Oryzias latipes: one gene and its partner. The protein of the gene in region 2 interacts with the protein of the main gene of each other region in a pairwise test. Links are inferred from orthologs where the notes say so. Each region holds a gene or a part of one and is shown on either strand. Other genes may lie near its edges.

Region 1 (5,293 bases), on a different chromosome or scaffold from region 2:
CGCGGCTCCCGTCCGAACCAACAGAAACCCAATGTCACGAAACCCGAACCAGAGCCTAAATGCAATTTAACAGGAACAAGGACATAACAGTTCTGGAAAAGTTATGGCGGGAACTCTAGGTTTTCTCACGCGCGACTCGAACAAAGCGTTTTTGGCTTCACTCGATTTGGGGTTGGAGACACCTCCCTAGGTTCTGGTTCGGTTTGGACCGAGCAATGAGTAAAGCCTTAATTAATTTGTGAATTCGGAACCAAAGCTAGCATTAGCCGAGCATCCTGGACAGACGGCGGCGCGTGCGGGATTCCGGCTCGGCCTGGTGCGTGTTTACCGCTGCGGGGTCACGTGCTGCCTAAAAAAAAAAAAGAGACCCATTTCCAGGGGATGACGCCGGTGCGCGCACGCGGACTTCGGCCGTTCGGACTGCACCGCCCCACAGGCCGAGCGTGCCTGATCAACGAACGTACCCCCTCCCCCCGTTTTAGACAAAAGATGACGTCATTTTATTTACGAGGACGCCCCGCGCCGGGTGATGACCTGGGGGGTATTCCAGGAAGCAAGATTAAACTAGCCTGACTTTGAGCCTGAACTCTGGCTGAAATCCGCCTGAACTTGCTTACTCTGGGTATGTCGGTTCCAAAAGACCGGATATGATTTGGCGTAATTACGCTCGACTTGGTAACCCTGGGTTAATGCTCGTGCACGGAAGGTACATAAAGACATTCTCAATAGATCGCCGATTTCTGGAGTCACCATGGAAACGCGTGGAGAAAAAAAAAAGAAAGCGCGACACTTGAGACGGAAGTGAGACGGAGTCTGAGATTTTAATGACGGCGGTTAAAAATTATAAGTCCATCAAAAAAGTAACACGGCTGAAAGATAATTTAGTTAAATTAATTCAAACTCAATAATTGTTTATACAACTCAAATCTACGTATTTATCTAACTAAATGTCACATTACTCCATTAATCTTTTTTCCATCTTAATTACTTATATTTCTTGAACTTTCATATGTCTAAGTTTGAGCCGGCAGATATTCTCATTTGTATAACAATAAAAAGAACGGAAAGACAATGCACCGAGTGCAAAAACTCACTAAAGAATTTTCCGTCACTGTCATAACAGCACTAAGCGGTAGGGGTGCTATATAAACTCATCATCCTCTCCCTCCCTCTCACTCATGGTGCAGAGACGTAAGCATAGTAGGACAAAATAGCTCGGCTAAACACGGTGAAACACAGTAAAACAGCTATACAACTAAACACATTTAGTAAAAAACCCACACTTAAACCCAAATCCGTCCAGACAGGCAAAGGGAATGGTATCCCACAATCCCTTGCGGTGCCGATCTAACAGCAGCATCAAAGTTACACCTACTTAATTGAATTAATTTGAACGAAAGGAAAATAACTGTCTGAAAACTACGTGTTATTTTTAACAAAAAAATTTCTAACAAAAAAAATGATTTATCTTAACTGAAGCAAATAATTAAGTTAGATCAAAGTAATAAGTTTCTCTTTCCAACATCCATACGTGGTCTTATCACCCTCTCACGGTGGAAAAAGTATTATCTGAGCTTCTTCATCCACTAAATCATCTTCAAATGGACACGCCATGCTGCTTCTCCTCTCTGAAAACAAACTAACCTTCAACTAAACCTGCTCCAGACCAGGTTATGTTCAGAGCATGCGTTGCTATGGCAACTTGACCCACCCTGAAACATACCTCCATTTCTGGAACCGAAAGCCGAGGTTATCAACTTCCTTAGCCTCAAACTTATCGTGGGAGCTAGCATAATCTGCTTTCTGGAATACCCCCCGGAAGCCAAAGTTTCTTCTGCCGTTTTTGACAGTAAAGACTGAATACAGCAGTTTAGTGACGGAATCAGGAGCAGAACCCGCTGGTTCTGAAGGAAGTTCCTGTACGTTTGAGACCAGATGGACGGAGCCTTCTCCGTCACTCAGGTGTTGGTGTGTCACGTGGTTTTGTCAGGGCGACCACAGCTCGCTCTGACCCAGAAACCCGCGTTAGTCTTTCAGGCTAAAACACTGTGGTGCATTCAGGGACACACAGGAACAGTCAGATTGTTTCACACTGGTCTTCAGCTGTTTATAAAAAAAACCAAAATAATAATAAATCAAGCTTTCCAGCACAGTGTCATTTCTTCTTTGGATCACGGGGCTCTCACATGGAGGCCACACCCCCCACGTGTGGTCATGGCGTTCCTTCCAGGATTCAATGTTCAGATGAAACCCCGCCGGATGTCGGCTGCCTTGCCCCCAAATGATCTGAACCGGGGTAGCGGTCGACCAAGGGGGTCTGAAAGGGGCCCAATGGGGTCGTGTCGGGGGCGGGGCAGGAGGCCGTGCGGGAGATTGGGTCTTTGGTCATAATCCCCCCCAATAATGCCTGGCACAGGGGGGAAGGGGCGGGGCAAAGGATGAAAGATGTGATGGCCAATAGGAGGGGTCATCAGTCGGGTGGCGCTGCGGCGGCTTTCAGAGCGAAAGACAAACATCGTTTTGTAGAGCTGAAAGGAAACATGGCAACAGGTGAGACAGGCTGTTTGCAGACTGTTTACAGGCTGGTTGCAGGCTGATTGCAGAATGTTTACAGGCTGTTTGCAGGCTGATTGCAGACTGTTTACAGGCTGTTTAAAGGCTGATTGCAGACTGTTTACAGGCTGGTTGCAGGCTGATTGCAGAATGTTTACAGGCTGTTTGCAGGCTGATTGCAGACTGTTTACAGGCTGTTTAAAGGCTGATTGCAGACTGTTTACAGGCTGTTTGCAGGCTGATTGCAGAATGTTTGCAGGCTGATTGCAGACTGTTTGCAGGCTGATTGCAGAATGTTTACAGACTGTTTACAGGCTGGTTGCAGACTGTTTGCAGACTGTTTACAGGCTGTTTACAGGCTGTTTGCAGGCTGATTGCAGACTGTTTGCAGGCTGGTTGCAGGCTGATTGCAGACTGTTTGCAAACTGTTTGCAGGCTGATTGCAGAATGTTTGCAGGCTGATTGCAGAATGTTTACAGACTGTTTACAGGCTGGTTGCAGACTGTTTGCAGACTGTTTACAGGCTGTTTACAGGCTGGTTGCAGGCTGATTGCAGACTGTTTGCAAACTGTTTGCAGGCTGATTGCAGAATGTTTGCAAACTGTTTACAGGCTGTTTGCAGGCTGATTGCAGAATGTTTGCAGGCTGATTGGAGACTGTTTACAGGCTGTTTACAGACTGTTTGCAGGCTGATTACAGGCTGTTTGCAGAATGTTTACAGGCTGATTGCAGACTGTTTGCAAACTGTTTACAGACTGTTTGCAGACTGTTTACAGGCTGTTTACAGACTGTTTGCAGGCTGATTGCAGAATGTTTACAGACTGTTTGCAGGCTGTTTACAGACTGTTTGCAGGCTGTTTACAGGCTGTTTGCAGACTGTTTACAGGCTGTTTGCAGGCTGATTGCAGGCTGTTTGCAGAATGTTTGCAGACTGTTTGCTGGCTGTTTACAGACTTTTTGCAGACTGTTTACAGGCTGTTTGCAGGCTGATTGCAGACTGTTTGCAGACTGTTTGCAGACTGTTAACAGACTGTTTGCAGACTGTTTGCAGACTGTTTGCAGACTGTTTACAGGCTGATTGCAGGCTGATTGCAGGCTGTTTGCAGGCTGATTGCAGAATGTTTACAGACTGTTTGCAGGCTGTTTGCAGACTGTTTACAGACTGTTTGCAGGCTGTTTACAGACTGTTTGCAGGCTGATTGCAGACTGTCTGCAGGCTGATTGCAGACTGTTTGCAGAATGTTTGCAGGCTGTTTGCAGGCTGTTTGCAGACTGTTTACAGACTGTTTGCAGGCTGTTTACAGACTGTTTGCAGGCTGATTGCAGACTGTCTGCAGGCTGATTGCAGAATGTTTACAGACTGTTTGCAGGCTGTTTGCAGACTGTTTACAGACTGTTTACAGACTGTTTGCAGGCTGTTTACAGACTGTTTGCAGGCTGATTGCAGACTGTCTGCAGGCTGATTGCAGGCTGTTTACAGACTGTTTCCAGGCTGTTTACAGACTGTTTGCAGGCTGATTGCAGACTGTCTGCAGGCTGATTGCAGGCTGTTTGCAGAATGTTTGCAGACTGTTTACAGGCTGATTGCAGACTGTTTGCAGACTGTTTGCAGACTGTTTGCAGGCTGTTTGCAGACTGTTTACAGACTGTTTGCAGGCTGTTTACAGACTGTTTACAGGCTTTTTGCAGACTGTTTGCAGGCTGTTTGCAGACTGTTTACAGACTGTTTGCAGGCTGTTTGCAGGCTGTTTACAGACTGTTTGCAGGCTGATTGCAGACTGTCTGCAGGCTGATTGCAGGCTGTTTACAGACTGTTTGCAGGCTGATTGCAGAATGTTTACAGACTGTTTGCAGGCTGTTTGCAGACTGTTTACAGACTGTTTACAGACTGTTTGCAGGCTGTTTACAGACTGTTTGCAGGCTGATTGCAGACTGTCTGCAGGCTGATTGCAGGCTGTTTACAGACTGTTTCCAGGCTGTTTACAGACTGTTTGCAGGCTGATTGCAGACTGTCTGCAGGCTGATTGCAGGCTGTTTGCAGAATGTTTGCAGACTGTTTACAGGCTGATTGCAGACTGTTTGCAGACTGTTTGCAGACTGTTTGCAGGCTGTTTGCAGGCTGTTTGCAGACTGTTTGCAGGCTGTTTGCAGACTGTTTACAGACTGTTTGCAGGCTGTTTGCAGAATGTTTACAGACTGTTTGCAGGCTGTTTACAGGCTGATTCATTCATGAATTAAGCCCACCTTCCTTCTGTTCATGTTCTGGTTTGTCCTCTAAGCTTCACACATATTAGTTAGATTTTCTAATTAAAAGCCTCCTTTGACTGAAATCAAAGCCGTGGAGGACCCATCACTGTGGGTCCCCACACATCTCACACCCGTGTGACAGTTTCACTCCCTCCTCACCTCCTTCCAGTCCGAGTCATTTGATCTGTTTCCACCAGAACCTGAAGCACAAACATGACATCATTGAGGTCCAAATGTTTCAGACTGAAAACGCGGTTCCTTCACATTCAACAGAAACTGAAGAATAATCTGCTGACGTCTTTAGATCAGACTAGTAGCTTCATTTATTCTCTACATGTGTGTAAAAACACAGAAATGTCTGTTTTCCTGGTGAATCCTGGTCCGCAGCTGGTCTCTGGCTGAAGAACGTGCAGCTTCTCTGATTCTGAAGTTTAAAAAAACGTGGCGGAGAAGCAGCTCTAACCTGGGAAATCACGGCGGTACAGGTGTCTCC
Region 2 (5,908 bases):
CCAGAGCCGGGTATCAAACCAGCGAGCTTCTGCACCAAGGATTCCCCATTTATTTAAATGGAGGCAGAAATCCTGGAATATCTGGAAAAGTTCAAGGATTTGAAGGACCAAAAGTCACAGCTGGAAAAAGCTGAAAGAGCCGAACATTTGAATAGATGGATGGTTGAAATAGATGAGTAACTGTAGAAGATAAGCTGCAAAACATGGCTGAAGATACTAGAATAAAGAGAAACAGGAAAACAATAAATATTTCTGAAGCAGAAACCTGGTGAATATATTATGTGTAGTTGTGCAGTGAGTCGGTACAGCCCTCTGTCTGTTTCTTCAATCTTTATTATGGTGGCATGTTATTTTTCTGTTCCGTTCACGTCCTGCAGACATGTGGACTCGTGTTGTATTGAACATGAGTCCACGCGTCACGAACGTCACAGAAACTCTGAACAATCGTCGTTCAGAAATGCTGACGTCAGATTCCAGCTGAAGGTAACGGCGGTGTGACGGCGTCTGCTTTCTGTGTGTCTGAAGAACTGCAGCACGCAGCAGGTGACCGACCTGACCGTGAACATGAAGGATCACGTGGACGCCGACCATCTGGACACGTTTGACAGGTCGGTGTAAAAAAACGTCCCCCACAGGAATCAGCAGTTCTTCCTGTTTTCAGTCCCTCAGGGTCACAGAGTCACAGGTGAGGAGGGCAGACCATAAGAGCTGCGGGTGCAGAGGTAGCAACCCTGAATCTGGATGAAATGATTGACTGAAGGCTTTTATTCTGAAGGGTTTTCATAAATGGAGACGGTTTGTCAGAGAAGGTGAGGGCTCAGCTGCTGCCCCCCCAGGAGAAGAAAGCAGGGAGGAGGAGTTTGCGGGAGGATGAGGACGAAGCAGGAGGAAGGAGGAGGAGAGAGGAGGACGACCCTCTACGCATTCCCAGCAGACGTCCTGGTCCGGGAACGCAGCATCCATGGTTGGGAAATTCTGGCATTGATTTGATCACAGCGATGGGATAAAGAAGTCTTTATTCTCTCTTTCTAGAATATTTCTATATTCTGAAAGTTAAAAGAAATGACGTTAAAGTAAAAATCAGGAATAAATTCCTGTTATTTTCTCACAGAACTGAATGAGTTGTTAGATCCGTCTGAACTTTAAAGGATAAAAGCAGAAACAAGTCTATCTAAAGATGAGCTTTTATTTTGAAAGGTTTATTCTGTCAGGAAGGAAACAGTCATCACGGATGCTGTGCTGCTCCTGATGAAGGTGAGGTGATTCTTCATCATTTGATGAACGCTTTGTTTTTCAGGCGTGAGCCTGCAGTTCCGCCTTTTGCCACTGGGGGAGCAGATCTGGATCCGTTCGGGTGGGTGTGTCTCCTCCTCTAAAACTTCCAGATGTTTGTGAGTTTCAGCCAGCGTTGTCCTAATCCAAGGATTTGGGATGACGGATTATCAGCCTCCGGCCTCGCGGACTCACAGCTTTGACCTCGAACGCTGAATCTCTGAACAGAATCTGCTGAGTCAGCATTCGATGGTCACATGACGCCTCACTTTGACATTTTCCTCCTTTTCTTTACCGTCTTTCTAAACTCCTGAGAGGATTACATCTGGAATTTGTGTTGAAAGCCTTATTGTTGTTTTTTCTTTGAGTCGGTTCTGTAGGGTTCTGTTGGGTTTTACTAGAGCACTGTGGGGTTTTATTAGTCCACTGTGGGGTTCTGTAGGGTTCTTTGGGGTTCAGTAGGGTTCATGGGGATCTGTGAGGTTCTGTAGGGTTCAGTGGGGTTCTGAAGGGTTCTGTGTGGTTTTGTAGGGTTCAGTGGGGTTTTGGAGGGTTCTGTGGGGTTCTGTTGGGTTTTATTAGTCCACTGTGAGGTTCTGGTGGGTTCAGTGGGGTTTTGTAGGGTTCTGTGGGGTTCTGTTGGGTTTTATTAGTCCACTGTGAGGTTCTGGTGGGTTCAGTGGGGTTCTGTGGGGTTCTGTGGGGTTCTGTTGGGTTTTATTAGTCCACTGTGAGGTTCTGGTGGGTTCAGTGGGGTTTTGGAGGGTTCTGTGGGGTTCTGTTGGGTTTTATTAGTCCACTGTGAGGTTCTGGTGGGTTCAGTGGGGTTCTGTGGGGTTCAGGGGGATCTGTGAGGTTCTGGTGGGTTCAGTGGGGTTCTGTAGGGTTCTTTGGGGTTCTGTTGGGTTTTATTAGTCCACTGTGAGGTTCTGGTGGGTTCAGTGGGGTTCTGTGGGGTTCAGGGGGATCTGTGAGGTTCTGGTGGGTTCAGTGGGGTTCTGTAGGGTTCTGTGGGGTTCTGTTGGGTTTTATTAGTCCACTGTGAGGTTCTGGTGGGTTCAGTGGGGTTCTGTGGGGTTCAGGGGGATCTGTGAGGTTCTGGAGGGTTCTGTGGGGTTCTGTTGGGTTTTATTAGTCCACTGTGAGGTTCTGGTGGGTTCAGTGGGGTTCTGTGGGGTTCAGGGGGATCTGTGAGGTTCTGGAGGGTTCTATGGGGTTCTGTTGGGTTTTATTAGTCCACTGTGAGGTTCTGGAGGGTTCAGTGGGGTTCTGTTGGGTTTTATTAGTCCACTGTGAGGTTCTGGAGGGTTCAGTGGGGTTCTGTGGGGTTCAGGGGGATCTGTGAGGTTCTGGAGGGTTCTTTGGGGTTCTGTAGGGTTCATGGGGATCTGTGAGGTTCTGTAGGGTTCAGTGGGGTTCTGTAGGGTTCTGTGGGGTTTTGTAGGGTTCAGTGGGGTTCTGGAGGGTTCTGTGGGGTTCTGTTGGGTTTTATTAGTCCACTGTGAGGTTCTGGTGGGTTCAGTGGGGTTCTGTGGGGTTCAGGGGGATCTGTGAGGTTCTGGAGGGTTCAGGGGGTTCTGTAGGGTTCTGTAGGGTTCATGGGGATCTGTGAGGTTCTGGAGGGTTCAGTGGGGTTCTGTTGGGTTCTGTTAGTCCACGTGAAGCTGGAGGAGTAGCTCTGTGACTTCCTGGCTTTCGGTTCCGCTGGAGCCTCCTTTTCCTGAGGAGAACCTCCTCAGAGAGGATTGACCCGTTTGCAGTCTCGTGTCAGAACCTCTGAAGGTCGTGTTCCAGTCAACGTTCCTGTGTGCAGAACCCCTCTGGTTCTGCTCTGGTTCTGCTCCTGCAGAAACGTTCATCGTGTCCTTTGTCCTCCTGACTCGTCCTCAGATCTCGAGGTGGGGGCGGGATGATCGTGGACCCCCTGAGGTCGGGGTTCCCCCGCTCCGGCTTCGACCCCTCCAGCGGCATCCCGGACATTCTGCCCCCCGGAGCCGTGCCACCGGGAGCTCGCTTCGACCCGTTTGGACCCATCGGGCGGCACAGACCAGGGTGAAGGCAGCACTCGTGTTCTCCTGCATGTGATGATGGTTGTTGCAGCCAAAACCCAGAGAGACACACGTCTGTGCGGATTCTGAAGAATTTGGTTCTGATTTCAGAGAATTGGGTTTTTTTAGAGATTTTCTCCTAAAATGACTTTAAGAGAAGAAAATCTCTTGGAAAAGTTTGATCCGCTGCAGCACAGAGTCCTAAAACAAACAGACAAAGCGCTGCGTTGGGTTCTGGTCGTGTTCTGGGCGGTTCTGGTTCTCTTTTGATGACCTAAGCTGCAGCAGAAACCAAAAACCTGAAACCTGTTTGTGTTTTTGCTTCCTAGGCCGGATCCGGACCACATGCCCCCCCCCGGCTACGATGACATGTTCATGTAGAGCTGAACGTGGGTGGTTCTGAAACCCTGACTCGGTTCTGACCCGCTCACTTTGCTCTCAGCTTTCAGGACGTGAAGTTTGAGGCTGCAGGTTCTGGTTGAGATAAGCGAGTTTGTTTTGGGTCGGAGGAGACGATTCCAGAAGGAAATCCTTCTGCTTGTCTCGGTGTTTGGAGCAGACGGCCCAGAAAACCGGACGGAGTTTGAGTTCTGAGCTTCGGGTCGGACTCTCGCTCCGATTTCAGGTTCCTGATCATTTTGTGGCTCATTCAGGAACACCAGAAATAAAGTTAGTTTAAAAAACTGTGAATCCTGTTGATGGAATAAATGTTTGAATCATTTCTCTGTGCTGCTTTCTGCTTGGGCCGGTTCTGTAGAAGCGGGTCGTTGTGGGTCACAGAGGTTTGACACTCAGAACAAAAATCTCTGAAGATTCTCTTTTTCTGATCAAGTAAAACACGAACGGTGATGAAAAAAGACAATCAAATTTAGCAGCAGATTTCAGACATGAAGGGTTACATTCTGTAAAAAAAACAGCTTTTCGGTTCCGACGGTCCAGTTTCAGACGGACAAAGTCCAGAACAACATCCTGAATTTTATTCTTCATCTGATTCCTCTTTTCTGGTCCCGGACCTTCTGTTCCCGGAACCGGTTCGGTTCTGCTCCTGGAACCGGTTCGGTTCTGCTCCTGGAACCGGTTCGGTTTCTGCTCCCGGACCTTCTGCTGCCGTCCCACAGAGATGCAGATTCATAAAATCCTAATTTGAGAGGTTTAGTGGTTTACCTGTGAATCTTTCTGCTCAGTCTGACATCCTGCAGACGTTGACAGACGTCATCATGAAGTCCAGGCTGCACGGTGGTGCAGTGGTTAGCGCTCTTGCCTCGCAGCAAGAAGGCCCCCAGTTCAAGTCCCGGCTGGGGGACCTGGAACAGAACACCAATGGGGGTCCTTTCTGTGTGGAGTTTGCATGTTCTCCCCGTGCATGTGTGGGTTTTCTCCAGGGTCTCCGGCTTCCTCCCACCGTCCAAAAACATGCTTCATAGGTTAATCTAAATTGTCCCTAGGTGTGAGTGTGAGAGTGAATGGATGTGTGATTGAGGATATTCTAACCCGTGACAGACTGGCGACCAGTCCAGGGCGTCCCCTGCCTTCACCCACAAGTGGCCAGGATAGGCTCCAGCAGCCCCGTGACCCCGAAAGGGAAAAAACAGAATTGAAAATGAACCATGAAGTCAGAGACTTTTCTGTCTTTCTCTTCATTTAACCCTTGTGCTATCCTAGGCACTTTAACGTTGGGAGTTGGGTCATCTAGACCCACTAGACAGTGCTCTGAACCTTTTTTCTTCAATGATTTGTGATCTTCACTGGTGTCCATGGATTACATGAAATCTTTCCACCTTTATCCACCTTTGTCATGGTAGGGAGAACACCTCAATGGAAGGGGGGGGGGGGGGTCATAAGATAGCACAAGGGTTACACAAAACCATTCAACTATTACACAAGAATGGTACTTTGAAAAAAAGGTCTTTTAGTTCTGAACGGTGAAGTATGATGTCAATGTTCAGATCTGGTTGCCATGCCAACAGAGAAGCTACATTAATCACCTTCCAGCGTTCATGGGTTCACCTTCTGACCCTGCAGACGGACAGAAAAGCAGTGATGACGTTTCCATGACAACTGAGATGATGATGCAGAGGGTTGGATGGGGGATGTCGGCTGCAGCTCTTTCTGCAGGGGTTTGTGCATTGATGACCGTCGTCAGGCCTTTTGCTGTTTGTTCTGCTGCTGCAGCTGCAGCTGCTGCTGCTGCTGCCACTGCTGCTGCAGCAGCAGCAGCAGCTGCAGCAGCAGCAGCAGAACAACAGCAGCAGCATCAGCTGCAGCAGCAGCAGCAGCAGCAGCAGAACAACAGCAGCAGCAGCAGCAGCAGCATCAGCTGCAGCAGCAGCAGCAGTGGCAGCATCAGCTGCAGCAGCGGCAGCAGCAGCAGCTGCAGCTGCAGCTGCAGCAGCAGCAGTGGCAGCAGCAGCAGCAGCAGCTGGAGCTGCAGCAGCAGCAGTGGCAGCAGCAGCAGCAGCAGCATCAGCTGCAGCAGCAGCAGCAGCAGCAGCAGAACAACAGCAGCAGCATCAGCTGCAGCAGCGGCAGCAGCAGCATCAGCTGCAGCAGCAGCAGCAGCAGAACAACAGCAGCAGCATCAGCTGCAG

The links. The genes of interacting proteins can lie anywhere in the genome.
Region 1: the proteins of psmf1 (region 2) and fbxo7 interact in binary tests that used the Homo sapiens proteins (3 or more experiments, as listed by UniProt). The link is inferred for Oryzias latipes from reciprocal best matches to the Homo sapiens genes PSMF1 and FBXO7.

What each region holds. Positions count from the first base shown.
Region 1 is NC_019881.2:23,757,994-23,763,286, reverse strand, and holds the end of fbxo7 (F-box only protein 7), read right to left. Parts: coding exon 5,264-5,293; intron 5,001-5,263; coding exon 4,960-5,000; intron 2,529-4,959; coding exon 2,241-2,528; 3' UTR 2,083-2,240; downstream 1-2,082. UniProt on the Homo sapiens protein: Substrate recognition component of a SCF (SKP1-CUL1-F-box protein) E3 ubiquitin-protein ligase complex which mediates the ubiquitination and subsequent proteasomal degradation of target proteins and plays a role in several biological processes such as cell cycle, cell proliferation, or maintenance of chromosome stability.
Region 2 is NC_019863.2:32,760,068-32,765,975, forward strand, and holds the end of psmf1 (proteasome inhibitor PI31 subunit), read left to right. Parts: intron 1-525; coding exon 526-608; intron 609-775; coding exon 776-964; intron 965-1,297; coding exon 1,298-1,354; intron 1,355-3,162; coding exon 3,163-3,324; intron 3,325-3,649; coding exon 3,650-3,701; 3' UTR 3,702-4,041; downstream 4,042-5,908. UniProt on the Homo sapiens protein: Plays an important role in control of proteasome function. Inhibits the hydrolysis of protein and peptide substrates by the 20S proteasome. Also inhibits the activation of the proteasome by the proteasome regulatory proteins PA700 and PA28.